Linked DNA regions of Astyanax mexicanus. The protein of the gene in region 1 interacts with the protein of each later gene in a pairwise test. Links are inferred from orthologs where the notes say so. Each region holds a gene or a part of one and is shown on either strand. Other genes may lie near its edges.

Region 1 (7,266 bases):
GAGACACGGGGGGGCTCCTAATAGATCCCATGCAGATGGTATGGTGTCACTAAACTTCTCCATTGCTCATACTAACCCAGACTCCCCTGCACTGCTCCAGTTTCTAACATTCCAGACACCACAATAGCATCCAGCCTGGTCAATGATGGAGACCTTCTATACCCTCGAGATATAGAGAGAGATAAAGAAAGAGAAATAGATGATTTTGAAGAAGATGACACTCTTTTTTACTCAGGTTTAAAAAAAAAGTGCTTGTCAATGTATTGCTATGGTATCGGAGTCAATTGCTTAGGTGTAGTATAGTGTAGTATAGGTGGTGTTCAATGTAAAGGTGTTGCTCGCATGTTGCTTAGTAGTTGCTGAGGTGTTGCCATGGTATAGGAGTTAGCTTATCAGGGACTGCTACATTCTTGCTAATGTGGTGTTGTGGTATAGAGGCTGGTTGCTCAGGTGTTTCTAATTGGTTACCAATGTGCTGCTATGGTATAGAGGTGGGTTGCTTAGGAGTTGCTAAGTGGCTGCCAAGATGTTGTTACTGCAGCGGTTGCAATATGATTGCAAATGTGTTGCTAAGTGGTTGCTACGGTGTTGCTATTATATATTTGTTGGTTGGCAGTGGTTAAATACTAGGTGAACACTATGCATTGGTTGTTGTGCTGTAGCTTGAAATATGTGAACTGTAGAGAAGGTCACAAAAGGGGTGTGCATATTGTATTGTACGCAATAATATCACCAACATTTTTGAATTACGTGAACAATATTATACCCTAAAATATCATACTATATCACCCACCCTAATTATCACATCAGGGTACTACTTTTTTGCTGTTTTTAGCCAAAGAAAAATTCACACTGTTCTCATTTCCCATTATATATCTACTAGAGACAGATTCTATCTGTCCAATATCATTTATTTTACTTTAATCCTGGATATATGAAGATATTTGGAGTGCATTATTAGTATCATGACATTCTGGATTATTCTTCTGTTACAAATCTGATAAAATTCTTGTATTTTTTAATATCTCAGTTAGGGGTGTGCCCTATCATATTATATGCAATAGTAAAATTTAATTTTTATTTTGTTGCAGTAGTTTATTCTTGCAATATATATTTTTTAATCAGTGTTTTATCGCCATGAGTATCGTTATCGTTAAAATACCATAATATATAGTGAATGTTTTGGCCACGGCATGTTTGTGCAGATGCATATTTGGGAATTCTATTGCACTCATCCAAAAAACTTTTTGCAAGCACTTCTTTATATGAGATTTTTAAAACTAAAGGAGGACTAACAGCTCAAAAAAAAAAAAAACAGGGGAAATAATACTGAATCTAAAACATAGAAGATGTACCATTTTATCTTTGTTCTTTTTCATTTTAACTTACTTCTTAATACCTTAACATCTTGATTGTATAGTCTTTTCACATACAACAATGCTTTTACTTTGCAAAAGTAAAATAAATGATGAACATGAATGTGAATTCATGCATGAGTGTGATAAAGTCAAGTAAAGTAAAGTTTACTGTCTTTCACTTCTGTGGGGGGAGGGGGTTAGTTCCTGTGTTTATGGTATTGGTAAATAGCCTAAGTGTAGGGGGTTAGTATAGGAGCAGTTACCCAAACCAGGATTAAGCCTAGTCTTGGACTACACCGCAGTTTTAATGATTTTTCACTGAAAGGAAATTATAGGGCTTAATAACTTTATTGCAAATATAGCATATTCACTTAAAGCAATGCTTTCACATTGTAAAAGTAAAATAAATGATGAGCATAAATGGGAACTTATGCATGAGTGTGATATAAAGTCAAGTAAAGTAAAGTTCACTGTCTTTTACTTCTGACCCCCAACGCAGATGAGAGTAGCAACCTGCTGTCTGTCTGATTAAACAGAAAAAGAGAGCCTCATCATCAGCCGGATGCAAGAAGCAGGATGGGGGCGTATGATGTGGGCGTGTCAGAGGCAGACATGCCCAGCCCACGCCCCGCCCCCCTTTGCGCTCTTGCTTGCTTGTGCTCACACAGCTGAGCAAACTTCACAGCTGGAGAAAGTCTTGACTGTGTTTAGATTTCGTTAGCACAAAATTCGCCAGATAAACACAAGAATAAGCGCAAGTGTAAGGAGTGACGCAGGATATGTACACTGTGTGTGTGTGTGTGTGTTTGGGGGGGTTAGTTCCTGTGTTTATGGTATTGGTATTGGTACACAGACTTAATGTAGGGGGTTAGTTATCCAAACCAGGATTAAACCTAGTCTTGGATTACACAGCAGGTTGAATGATTTTTTTAAGATTTTTCACTGAAAGGAAAAAAAACATAGGGCTTTAAACTTTATTGGTAAACTGACTGTCACATAGGGTTTAATATAAATAAATCGAGACTAACGATTAGATGCACGCATACTTAGTTATATACTAAGTATATATAAACACATTGATACTGAAACTATTGCAAAGAAAAACAAACTGTCAGATTTAGCATGTAAATACCGGTTTCTTGTGAAACTGCAACTTTTTATCATGAACATACCGGTTTCACATAGTCACCAGCTGTTTCCCTCAGAGCACAAACACACCATCATAACCATCCAATTCACCATCAGTATATAGTCTGTTATATTAGCCTGCAGAAATGACAGGATAAACAGTGAAAGAAGAATTAATGAAAGTGAATTATCTCCACTCACCACATTGGTAAGGAAATCACTCTCATTCAGGTCCTCCAGGTCCAACAGGTTGGAATTGGGGAAAAGTTTGTCCGAGGCAAAACTGTCCAATATGGTGTCCATATTGGGGGTGAATGGACTCAATCTTCTGGAAAAATGTCAGATATCTCAAGTAGCAGCTCAGACAACAAAATCTAGGAGTGAAATGTGATCTGAAACTACAGCCGCAGCGTTTCTCTCTGTAGCCTCAGCCGCCTCTAAGCTAGTCTGACCTGTGCTGTCGCCTTCATCCGAGAGCCTGTGTGTGTGTGTATGAGTGTGTGTGAGTGTGTGTGTGACCGCAGCTGGCTGCTGGCTGCTTCTCTCACTCTGCAGAAATCGCGTTGACTTGGATTAAAGCTACACGCTCCTCAAGCTGCGTCTTCATTCATCAGCAGCTCGGAGGAGCGAGCGTGCTCTCATGAATATTCAAATACACCCCGCCCGCTAGGGCGCTCTAGCCACGCCCAATTAAAGAGCCATGAACACAAGTCCAGACCTTTATGATAAAAGCATGACATTTGATACAAGTATAGAAACAATTAGATATTGGACTTTTTTTAAATATTTTTTTCTCTAGAAGTCCTCTTAAGTTTATATGAACTCTAACTATGTATTTTCTAACTGTTTCCGTTGCTTCTGTGGTGGATCTATGTGTTTATTAACCTTTTTAGGGATGTCATTGTATATATATATATATATATATATATATATATATATATATATATATATATATATATATATATATATATATATATATATATATTTGCTGCTTCACCCCTGTTTAAACATATATATACATATATGTATAAACAGGGGTGAAGCAGCAAATTCTGGGTCCTGTACACTCTCAATGTCAGTGGGCCCCTATCCATGTCAGTACACAAGGAACGTGAACGAAAAAAAAAAAAATCAGGATTTTCATGGGCCCCTTTCCCTACTCAGGCCCTGGGTAGTCAGTTCCACTTTTCCCCCTTTTTTATTGATTTAATCATTTGAACTCAAAGATTATTATTATTAGTAGTAGTAGTAGTACTATTATTATTATCACTTGTTAATAACAAGGAACACATTTTGATGTACAAATGTTTATTGGTTTTGTTTTTTATAAAGTGTATATGTACACACCTATGCACACAAACACATTGAAATAGTTACTGAGGCCAAAAGATGTATGGTCATATCAGTAAATCACAGGTTAATGCAGTTCATTCATTGTTGCATTACTTCCTTTTGCACTCATTTCTTTTAATAATACAATACTGGGAGGAAAGAATGTTCATGATGTGCTCTGCACTGTTTAGTCGCCTAAAGCTGGTTTCTGGTTTCAGTTGCTTTAGTCTAGTAAACAAAAGTGAGAGGCTAATGTTCTACTGAGTATGAGTATCTGTGGTACTCACAAAGACACATTTTTGGGAAGCATCCCAGCCAATATGTTCATGTGAGGGTCAAATGGGTAAAATGTGGGCTATAGGTGCATTTCAGGTGGGTTTGTACTGTACATATGATGTTACAGGACCTTGATTTAATCCCACATGGGTCCCATCTAGGTCCTGTGTGTATTGTACAGCCCAGATAGGGCTGACGTTTAACTCCTCATGGTCCCATTTAGGGCTGCCACAAACGATTATTTTTATAGTCGACTAATCACCGATTATTTTTTATGATTAGTCGACTAATCGGATCATACGTTAATTGAATATAAAACACAGTTTATCGCAATAGAATGCAGCTGCTATTATACAACCAACATTAGATTTCAGCTATATGCTAACTAAAAATAAAAACAATTAAAATCATAGTTCATTAAACCTTTAATGAAATATGCAGCTTGTTGTAACAGACAATTATTTTACTGTTTAGCATAAAGTGTAAACAACTGTGTAAAATAAGGATAAGGCACTGGCATTTATGAAACATCTCAACCGTGAGGTTGTTTGAACTATTATGAAAAAAAAGTATATTAATAAAAAATGCCTCTCTGTCCAGATATTGTGTACATTACCGTACACAGGGCAGCGGTCTGCACAGATCTGATTGGCAGAGGAGAGCGTTTGGTGATTTTACACCACACATGACTGATCTGTGAGTTTACTGCACCGAAAAGCACTGAAAACAGAAGCCACTGTCAGAATGAAATCCTTCTCTGTAGTTTATCGGTTTGGGATGGCATTTGTGACAACGTCTGGGTCCGGATCCGGATCGCGGTCCGCCTATAAGTGACCTCTGTTTTAAAGCTATCAAGATGAGTAAGTTAAGTACTAAGTTAACGCTCTGTTTACGCTAATTTTAGCAGCTAAATAGCAATTTAGCTTCTTCGTCATTTAATCAGCCACAACATGCCTCCTTTTCAGGTGCTCGTGCATCGCGGTTGTGCTGCCGAGGAAGGCAAGTTCTTCATTGCAGATATTGCATTGCACGCGTTTCACTTTTATTTTCTTGGTGATCCCACACTTTTGAGTTCTGTAGCGGGGTAGCCATGAAACCAGAGCCTGTCTGTATAATGTCCTGAGATGTCGTCCACTACCTACCCCGGTTTCCACTACTGCGCATGTGCGTCCAGGACAGAAAGGCAGTCGCAGCAGTTTGGAGAGAAAAACAAAGAAAAAAAAAAACGACTAATCGACTATTAAATTAGTCGTCGACTATTTTAATAGTCGACATAATCGTGACTAGTCGACTAATCGTGGCAGCCCTAGTCCCATTACTGACATTCATCTGGGTCCCAGTTGGCCTATCAAACTTATTTCTTATGGGATTTATTTATTCTGGGATGATGATTGGCTTTAGCAATTGCGACGGTACCAACCATGCATCAGTTCCAATTCATATCCAGTCATATCCTAGATGGTGTCAACTTGCAGTAAAATTGTAAAATAATTTGGGTAATTACAAATCCTAATTTATACTGCCAGGTGGCATAATAAGTCTTGTAATCCATCCCTGCTTTGTTACGTAGTTATGTAACTCATGGATGCTGTTTTTTTTATTTAGGGATGATACTAGAAAGAGAGAGTGAGAGAAAAAAAGAGAGTAACAGTAGTAACTAAATAATAAAGGCACCAGTGTGTTTCCTCATATCACATATCTGCTCGCAGCTTCTACACTGAAACCATCGCGGAGCTGCTGTCCGACGCCTCTCTCAGGATGTTCCAATGATTCCTGATTCAGTCAGTGAAAGGATGACTCATCTCTCCATCCATTTATAGTGGTGGGCCAGGAATTTGATAAGCGTACTGAATCGGTTGATTCAGTACTCGCAATCAACCTCACAGCCCCTGCAATCAGGGCCTATTTCAGCCCCCCCAAGAGGTTAAAACCCTATTACGGTCGAATTGCACTACAGAACTGTAATAATGAGGAAATATGTCAGAGGATACCCGTTAAGAGAGGCGTTCCCATGCCCTATTGTGTGGGAAGTTATGTGAGCATTGGGCTAAGGTTGCAGTTAACACGGTTTTAAAAGCAGTAACAGGGTCACACCTGGATTGTACGTGTGTTAATACTGGTGTGTAACAGAACGCGGCCTGGGTCCCTGTAATCTGGGCCGTTAGAGAACAGGGCAGAAATGACCAGATGCCACAGCAGAAGTTTTTAGGATGTCTAGAAGAAGAAAGAATGTTGTTAGTAAACCTCAATTTCTTAATGTCATGGTGTTGGCTGATTGAACACATTAACAGTGTAGGCAGAGACCACAGGCGTCCCTCACTGGAGTGGTTTTAAAATTAATCCAGTTTTGCATTTACAGTGTAAACACAGCAGCAGCAGCAACAACAAACAATACTACTACTACTACTACTACTACTACTACTATTAGAGAGTTGCACAAGCAATAAGGGTTCAATACTAATGTAATTAAATAAGCTAGCACCAGGTTGGTATTGTATTTTGCTTACATTTGTCCTAATTTGTTTTTTTCTGAAATATATATGGGCTTAAACTGACATGCCAAAAGTTAAAGGACAGGGACTAGTGTTGTGTCCCATGTTTTGCCATGTCCCACAGAAGCTAAAGAATGTTACATTGACCTGTGGAATATGTACGTTGGGCCTCCTGCACTAAACGAGTTGCTTGTCTGTTTGCACGGACAGTTTTAGCCAGATTCCACCGGTCACAATCATTATGACCCACTGTGTTGTCCACTGTGGGTGGTAATGTTTTCTGAATAATTAATGGTGTTGGTTTTAATGCGATATTAATGATCTTCTTAGTCAAATTAATTAACTATACATAACTCTTGGGAGTATATGTTACAGCTCCAGAAAAATCAAGCTCAAGAGAAGCTTGCCAAGAAGCATGAAAGCTGTGATTAAGAATAAGGGTTATTCCACCAAATATTGATTTCTGTACACTTAAAACAGTAGCATTGTGGTTTCGAATATGAACTTGTTTCTTTGCATTATTCGAGAAATTCTACATGATGCCCTCATGTTATTAAGAAAATTTAAATGTATTTATAAAGTGCTTTTTACAACTGATGTTGTTGCAAAGCAGCTTTACAGACATGTGGTAGTAGAACAGAGAATCAGACAAAACATTTAACATGCAACATACAAAACCC
Region 2 (7,071 bases), on another chromosome or scaffold:
TCCACCAACTACAAGAAGAAGAAAAAAAAGAAGATAAAATTACTATTACTTGTATTTTATCTCTTCATTTATAAGAAAACTACAAATACAAGTTAGAATCAAGAAATTTAGATTTTGTCAATATGGTTCACTACAAGTAAACAATATCGATATAGTACTTACACCACTTATTCCAGGGAGATTGAGCAGTGATCCAAGAATTGGTATTCTTCTAATAAAGCCGACCGCGACTGGGAAAAAGCCCCTGAATAACACAAAGCAGGGATGTGTTAGTCCAGTTGCATACAGTATACGACAATGTAAACCTCTAAAATCACAACACTTACCATTTCTAAACGTCCTGAGCATAAAAGGCCAGTCATATGAGTGGGTCTGTTGCATGAGCCTCTCTTCCATTCAGAAGAGACAAAGGGGTGGATACAGTCCAGTACAGTATAGTTTTAAGATTTGGTGTACATTTTTTATTTTTTATTTTTTTATTTTTTCATTTTTGGCATTAATTTACCTTTTGTTGAAATTAAACACTTAAACACTCTTTTCTATAACAATTCACTGAATTATAGTTTGGTAGCAGCATTAGCAACTAAACTCCTATTCCTAAATACACAGTTCCCACAATACAATGCAAATCTGTGCATACTGTCTATTCTCTGTATGGCTGTGTGGATCAGGTGTAAGTGTGACAAAGCATGGTAAAATATCAAGTATGTTTTATGACTGGCCTTTTATGCTCAGGATATTTAGAAATGTAAGGGTTGTGATTTTAGAGGCAAAATGTTTATTCACAGAAGTATATAATTAAAGCTGTCTAAATTCAAAACATTGTCACCCATAAAATATTAAACATTTTACCTTGACCTTAACAGTAAACCCCGAAGTCACATTCTGTGCTTTAGAGGCTTCCAAATAATTTCCCTTTCCACACTAACTAAATAACTAAGTAACTAACTAAGTAACTAACTAACTACTTTAGGATAAGGTAAGTCAGTGCACAATTTGCTTTATACTCATTTATAAGGATTTGAGGTAGATCAAATACATTATTGGTTAGAGAAGCCTTCATGACTCCTGAAAACCAATTTGCTGGACTGATTATACTGGATGAACAGCACACACAGTACAACACAAATCAGTACCTATGGGTGTGGTTCTGATTTTCCAAAAACAAAAGTGCTTGCTCCTGGTGATGTAACCAAGTTCCATCCCTTGATTTAACACACATGTGCCCATATTCACAAACATTTGTTGAGCAAAATTTCTAATTTAGGATCTGGCCAATTAAATCACTGTAAATCAAAGAGGATTCCTAGATCTTAGATCAGTGATCCTACTGTGATAAGCTTTAGAAATCAGCACAGCTCCTCCTACACAGACTCCCAGACAAAGTTTATTTTTGAGAAGTGAGCCAGCAGGGTAGATCTGAAAAAAACCTACCTAAAGAGAAGGAAGAACCCATAAACCTCCAGGACCACGCCGATGATTGGCCACCCGATCAACACCACAAACACGCCACCCAGGAAGAAACCTGTAGCTTTCATTTTGTGCCGCTGGAAAAAGAATCTGAAGGTTCGTTCCAGTCCAATAACAAAGGAGAGGCCTGCTACAAACAAGATCTGAACACACATACACACAAAATTTAGCCTTTTCCAGAATATCAATAAACATCCACAATAATAATTTTAATAGGAAATATATTTGTACACAACCCTGATCCTAAATGACATTTATTCCTACATGTTAGTGGTCTCCTGCTCCAACACACAGCTTGATAAACAAGCTAAATCAGTGGTTCTCAAAACTTTTAAAAGCAATGTACCACCCATGATTAAACCAAAATGTTAAAGTACCACCTACTGGGGGCTACTGTGTGAGCTTTACCCACTCTGCAAAATGTTGATTATTGTTTCTTTTAAATGCAGTGAGATAACAGGAATGTGAGAAAATATAGTTAACTACAGAGTCTACATGACACCCCCTTGAACCTTAGGCTAATTATTTTGATTTTATTACTGATACATAAACTTTGAATAGTGGAGTTCCACAAGGTTCAGTTGAAGAGCCTATGAAACTATAAAGAACTGAAGTGTGAGCTTACATACAGGGCGTACCAGGTTAAGCAGTAAATAAAAAACAAACCTGGTGTTGTGACAATTTGAGGAAAATGTTTCAGATTTATTTAGAGTTATTAATATTTGTGTACATGCATCTGGTGTACCACCCTGAAATTCTTTGCATACCACCAGTGATACACGTACCCTAGTTTGAGAACCACTTAGCTAAATGGTTAGCTGGATCAGTTGTTGAGTATTGTGAACATAATAATCACTAGAACAGTGCAGGACTGATCCTGGGTCCTCCAGGATCTCCAGGTGCATGGTTGTGAAAAGCCACAGTGGTAGCTAGCTAAAGTTTGAGTTACACCCAAAAAATATCACTAGCTACATCTACTAAACACCCACGCACTCACATTCCCTATGGCCAGCAGAGCTTTATCAAAGAACAGGATCATCCCAAAGAAGAGGAAGAACACGCCGAAGCCCGTCAGACCCATCCCGATCTCTGCAGAGACAAAGAAAAGGGTTTCAGCACATGATCAGGACTACACAGACACACATATCAGCACACACTACCTGATGAATCCCCTCTGAAGAAGCAGGTTATGTGAGACTGTCGGAATAGCTGTCTGAATTAGAGAGAAGCTATAGTATCTGTATATATGGAGGAGGTGTGAATTAGCCCCGGAGCTGCTGCAGGCCCAGCCATCACCACTCATTCATTCAAACTGCCGCCCCCTGAACACTCCCAGCCCTGCGCCGCTATGTACACACACCACACCGCTCACTATCAGACAGACAGTAAAGGGCTCGCTCACTCTGGGAGTCCGTTAGGGAGATCATCTTCACTCTGTGAACTTTGTTTCCGCGCTGACTGATAGCTGATAGCGGAGGAAAGCGCCGCACCGACTGATTTCAGCTATCGCCACGTCTTCCGGAAGCACGCACAGACGCAACAGTGCCGAGGATGTGACAGAATAAAAGTCCCTCAGCCTCACAGACAGATGCTTTTCTTTTTTTCATTTTTTAATGTTTATTAAGATATTAACACCTTATATTCAGTGTTTTTTATTCTTTAAAAAAGAATACTAAATTTATGGAAACTACAAATAAAACACATGTTTTTTTTAAGTAAACAGTAAGTAAAAAATAAGGTGTTAAACAAACCAGAATATATATTATATATTTTACTTATTTATTCTGCTTAGATTAGACAGATTTAATTCTGAGTCAGACCAGGAGTCATACATTAATAAGAAGCAATGATTAAAAAAATTATAAATGTTCAATTAAACAATTTGTTAGAAATATTAATAATGGTTCAAATTATATTTTCATACTGATAATATGTAGCTAACTATATATTAAACAATAATTAAATAATTTGACTTAAACAAATAACTGTTCATATTATAGTTTTTATATGTTGATCAAATTGAACTTACTTTGTATTATTTTTTAAACATCTTTAAACATTTTTATTATTTTGATTCTTGAATTTTGATTCAGTTACACCCCTTTAGCCAGCAGTGTAAAGGTTAATCGTGTGAAGGTATTTAATCGTCAGTCAGTTTTTAATTACGCCACTTAATTATTGACAAAAGGAAAAATGAAAACATTTTTTAACAAATAAGATTTTATTATTTATATTTTCTTACTAATAGAATATATCTATGTGTTTGAATTGCCTTTATACATTGATTAATTTTGAGTACAATTAATGTAGTCTTTCAGAGCGAAATTACTGCGTTTTACGTTTATTGTATTTTAATATATATTTAACTATTTTAACTATTTAACTATAAGCTATATGATTATTCATTTTACTATTGAGAAACCTTTTTATGAATATTAATTTTTTTACTGATCACATGCTTGCGGCAGGAACACACCTCTTGCGCTAATTTTGTGGGAAATGTAGTTTTCTTTATTCCCGAGCGTGACGGTCATGCATAGTAAAGCACAGTGAGAAAGACTACAACACCCAGCCCTCCCTTATGTTTGAACTACAATGAAGCCGGGATACGTGTTCAGCGAGCAGTTCTCGTTTCATTGAAAAGCTCTGGTAGTGTATTTATCAATATGCTGTGGGTCGGTTTGGTTTAGCCAGTCAGTGTAACGCGGTGGGGAGCCTCGTTTGGAGTGTGTAAAGATGAATACGGCCTTTGCAGTGAGTTTGGTGTTTGCTGGGTGCTGCAGTAATGTTGTGTTTCTGGAACTTTTGGTGAGGTAAGTGTAACTTCTCTAAAGCTGCAGCTGTGGTTGGCTGCAGAAGCTCTCTGAGAGATTATTGTGGTGGAGGCTGTAGTGTCTTAATTACCACCTTGCTTCCAAATACAGCCATAAAGACTACAATAAGTGTTTAGCGTGTGTCTAATTATAACAGGCCTGTGTACTGAATGGAAGTGTTTTAGTAAGTTTGCTGTGAAGTTCCTCAATAACGTGACTTAATGTTAAGAGCCGATTTAACTCATGTGTGATTCGAAACTGCAGGAAATTCCCAGGATGTGGAAACATCGTCACGTTCGCCCAGTTTGCCTTTATTGCCCTTGAAGGCTTCGTCTTCCAAACGAATTTTGGACGCAAGAAACCTGCCATACCTATCAGGTATCAGACACATCAGCAAGAGCATGCCAGCTCTGTAAATGTCAGCTGCTGTACACATAGCTAGCACATGTAGTCTGTGTAGCTAGTCTGTGTAGTACAAATGATCCTGCCATGTAGTTAGTGAATGTTGTTTTAAAAAGTCCACTATATTCTCTTTATGTACACTGCCTGGCCAAAAAAATATTTTGCTTTTTTTTTTAGCTTTAATTGCGGCATGCATCCACTGTGGCATTGTTTCAATAAGCTTCTGCAATGTCACAAGATTTATTTCAATCCACTGTTGCATTAATTTTTCACCAAGATCTTGCAGCATTGATGATGGTAGAGTCTGACCGCTGCACAAATCCTTCTCCAGCACATCCCAAAGATTCTCAATGAGGTTAAGGTCTGGACTCTGATCTCATGCTCTCTGAACCACTCTTTCACAATTCCAGCCCCCTGAATCCTGGCATTGTCATCTTGGAATATGCTCGTGTCATCAGGGAAGAAAAAAATCCATTGATGGAATAACCAGGTCTATATTCAGTATATTCAGGTAGTCAGCTGATCTCATTCTTTCAGCACATACTGTTGCTGAACCTAAACCTGACCAACTGCAGCATTAACCCCACATCATTTACTTAGTTATCTCCAGGTAGTGATCCACTTTTTCTTTTGGCCACGCAGTGTATTATCTTATCAGAGCTGTATTGTTGTTAAATATCCTTTGATTGACTTGAATGACTCAGCCTAACACATGGTTTTATTGGTTTAAGCTTGGTTAAGTTGTCTGCTAGATATTTACTCTCTGTTTCACTTTTGCAGTAACTATGTGATAATGGTGACCATGTTCTTCACTGTAAGTGTGATCAACAACTACGCCCTGAACTTCAACATCGCAATGCCCCTGCACATGATCTTCAGATCTGTGAGTCATGTCTCTTGCATATCTTTTTTATAGACAGTAATCTAATTAATTGGTATATGTGTCTGGTTTATTAATTAATTTTATAATTGATGTAAATATCTTCCTTCTCAGGGCTCATTAATAGCCAACATGATATTGGGTATCATCATATTGAAAAAAAGGTTGGTTACATATACTGGATACATTTTCTTTACCCACCTAATCCAGTTTCAGCTTTATTTATTAATCATCTCATTAATTTAATTATTGGAACAATATGTGCAATGCTTTTATGTCTGTCGTTTTTACATGTAGGTAATTATACCATTTGATGCATTACAGTGTACTTTATTACTTATCAAATGATTTCTTTCTAATAAAGGTATTCAGCAAGCAAATACCTTTCCATAGTTCTGGTATCGATAGGCATTTTTATCTGCACGATCATGTCTGCAAAACAAGTGGTGAGTATTGCATACACTTCCATTCAGTTTTACACTGTTCCTCTTACACTGTGACTAAAATAAGTAAATGGTGCCCTAAACAGTAGTTTGAGTGTTGTTTTTTTATTTTGTTGCTGTTGTGCAATAAATCTAGATTTGTTTTATTATTTTTTCTTGGATTGTAATGTAAATCTTTTAATATTTATGCTTCCTTTAAGTCATGGTTTAATGATGAATGGATCAGTAAAAATAGAAATGCTCAAAGAATACTTTTATTCAAAGTGTAAATTTGCCATTATGAAAATGCAGTTTTTGCTTGACAGTGACAATATATCTTTGATGCTTTACCTTAAAAAAAACTTGTATGTCTGCACCTGTTCTGTTGTTTTATCCTTGTCTTGACAACCAGATTGTTTTTTTTTATGTGTAAAGTCAATCTAAAATACTTTGCTCGATTTTTAGTTAATGACTCTTATGAAGCATTGTTTCATAAGAGTTCTTGTTCAAAGTTCTTGTTTTTCTGTTGTCTTTAAATAAGTGTAGTTTAAATTTTGCTGTGTCTAAATTGTCTTCTGTTTTTTTTATGAAGTTTTACATTTTAATTATAATAGAAATCACATGTTTATATTTAATAATATAATGTTTTACCTCTCCCTGGCACAAACTCCACCTATCAATAAACAAAAATGAGCTAACTTAGCTTGCACTTCCTTAGCATGTTTCATTCAAAAATATGTTTAAAAAAACAAAAAAAAAACAAGTTAATTATATTATGGCAAGTAAATGTTGACTTTAATTCCGTTACACAGAGTGCACAAAAGGGTTCTACAGAAGAGGACGGAGTTTATACTTTCCTACAGTGGCTTGTAGGTAAGCACTTTGCGGTGAATTTTATTATTTTATTTATCATGAAATGCAGGCATAATGTAAGGATCAAATTATGTAAAAAGTGAAATATTAAGAGACATTGTTTTTGTTACAGATGTATTATTATTATTATTATTAATAACAACTTATTTATTTATGTATGGCATTTGCATGTTTTTGCTTGTAACATTTTCTGTATTTATGTAAGGTATTT

Evidence for each region. The genes of interacting proteins can lie anywhere in the genome.
Region 2: the proteins of creb3l1 (region 1) and slc35b4 interact in binary tests that used the Homo sapiens proteins (3 or more experiments, as listed by UniProt). The two-hybrid records come from large-scale screens. The link is inferred for Astyanax mexicanus from reciprocal best matches to the Homo sapiens genes CREB3L1 and SLC35B4.

The regions. Positions count from the first base shown.
Region 1 is NC_064430.1:14,608,839-14,616,104, reverse strand, and holds the start of creb3l1 (cyclic AMP-responsive element-binding protein 3-like protein 1), read right to left. Parts: upstream 3,083-7,266; 5' UTR 2,790-3,082; coding exon 2,688-2,789; intron 1-2,687.
Region 2 is NC_064409.1:59,302,668-59,309,738, reverse strand, and holds the start of slc35b4 (UDP-xylose and UDP-N-acetylglucosamine transporter), read left to right. Parts: upstream 1-4,064; 5' UTR 4,065-4,206; coding exon 4,207-4,283; intron 4,284-4,547; coding exon 4,548-4,661; intron 4,662-5,465; coding exon 5,466-5,568; intron 5,569-5,679; coding exon 5,680-5,729; intron 5,730-5,929; coding exon 5,930-6,011; intron 6,012-6,799; coding exon 6,800-6,860; intron 6,861-7,065; coding exon 7,066-7,071. Other genes in the region: golt1bb (golgi transport 1Bb), read right to left, coding at 1-8, 163-244, 1,435-1,613, 2,468-2,559, 2,873-2,897. UniProt on the Homo sapiens protein: Antiporter that transports nucleotide sugars across the endoplasmic reticulum (ER) membrane in exchange for another nucleotide sugar.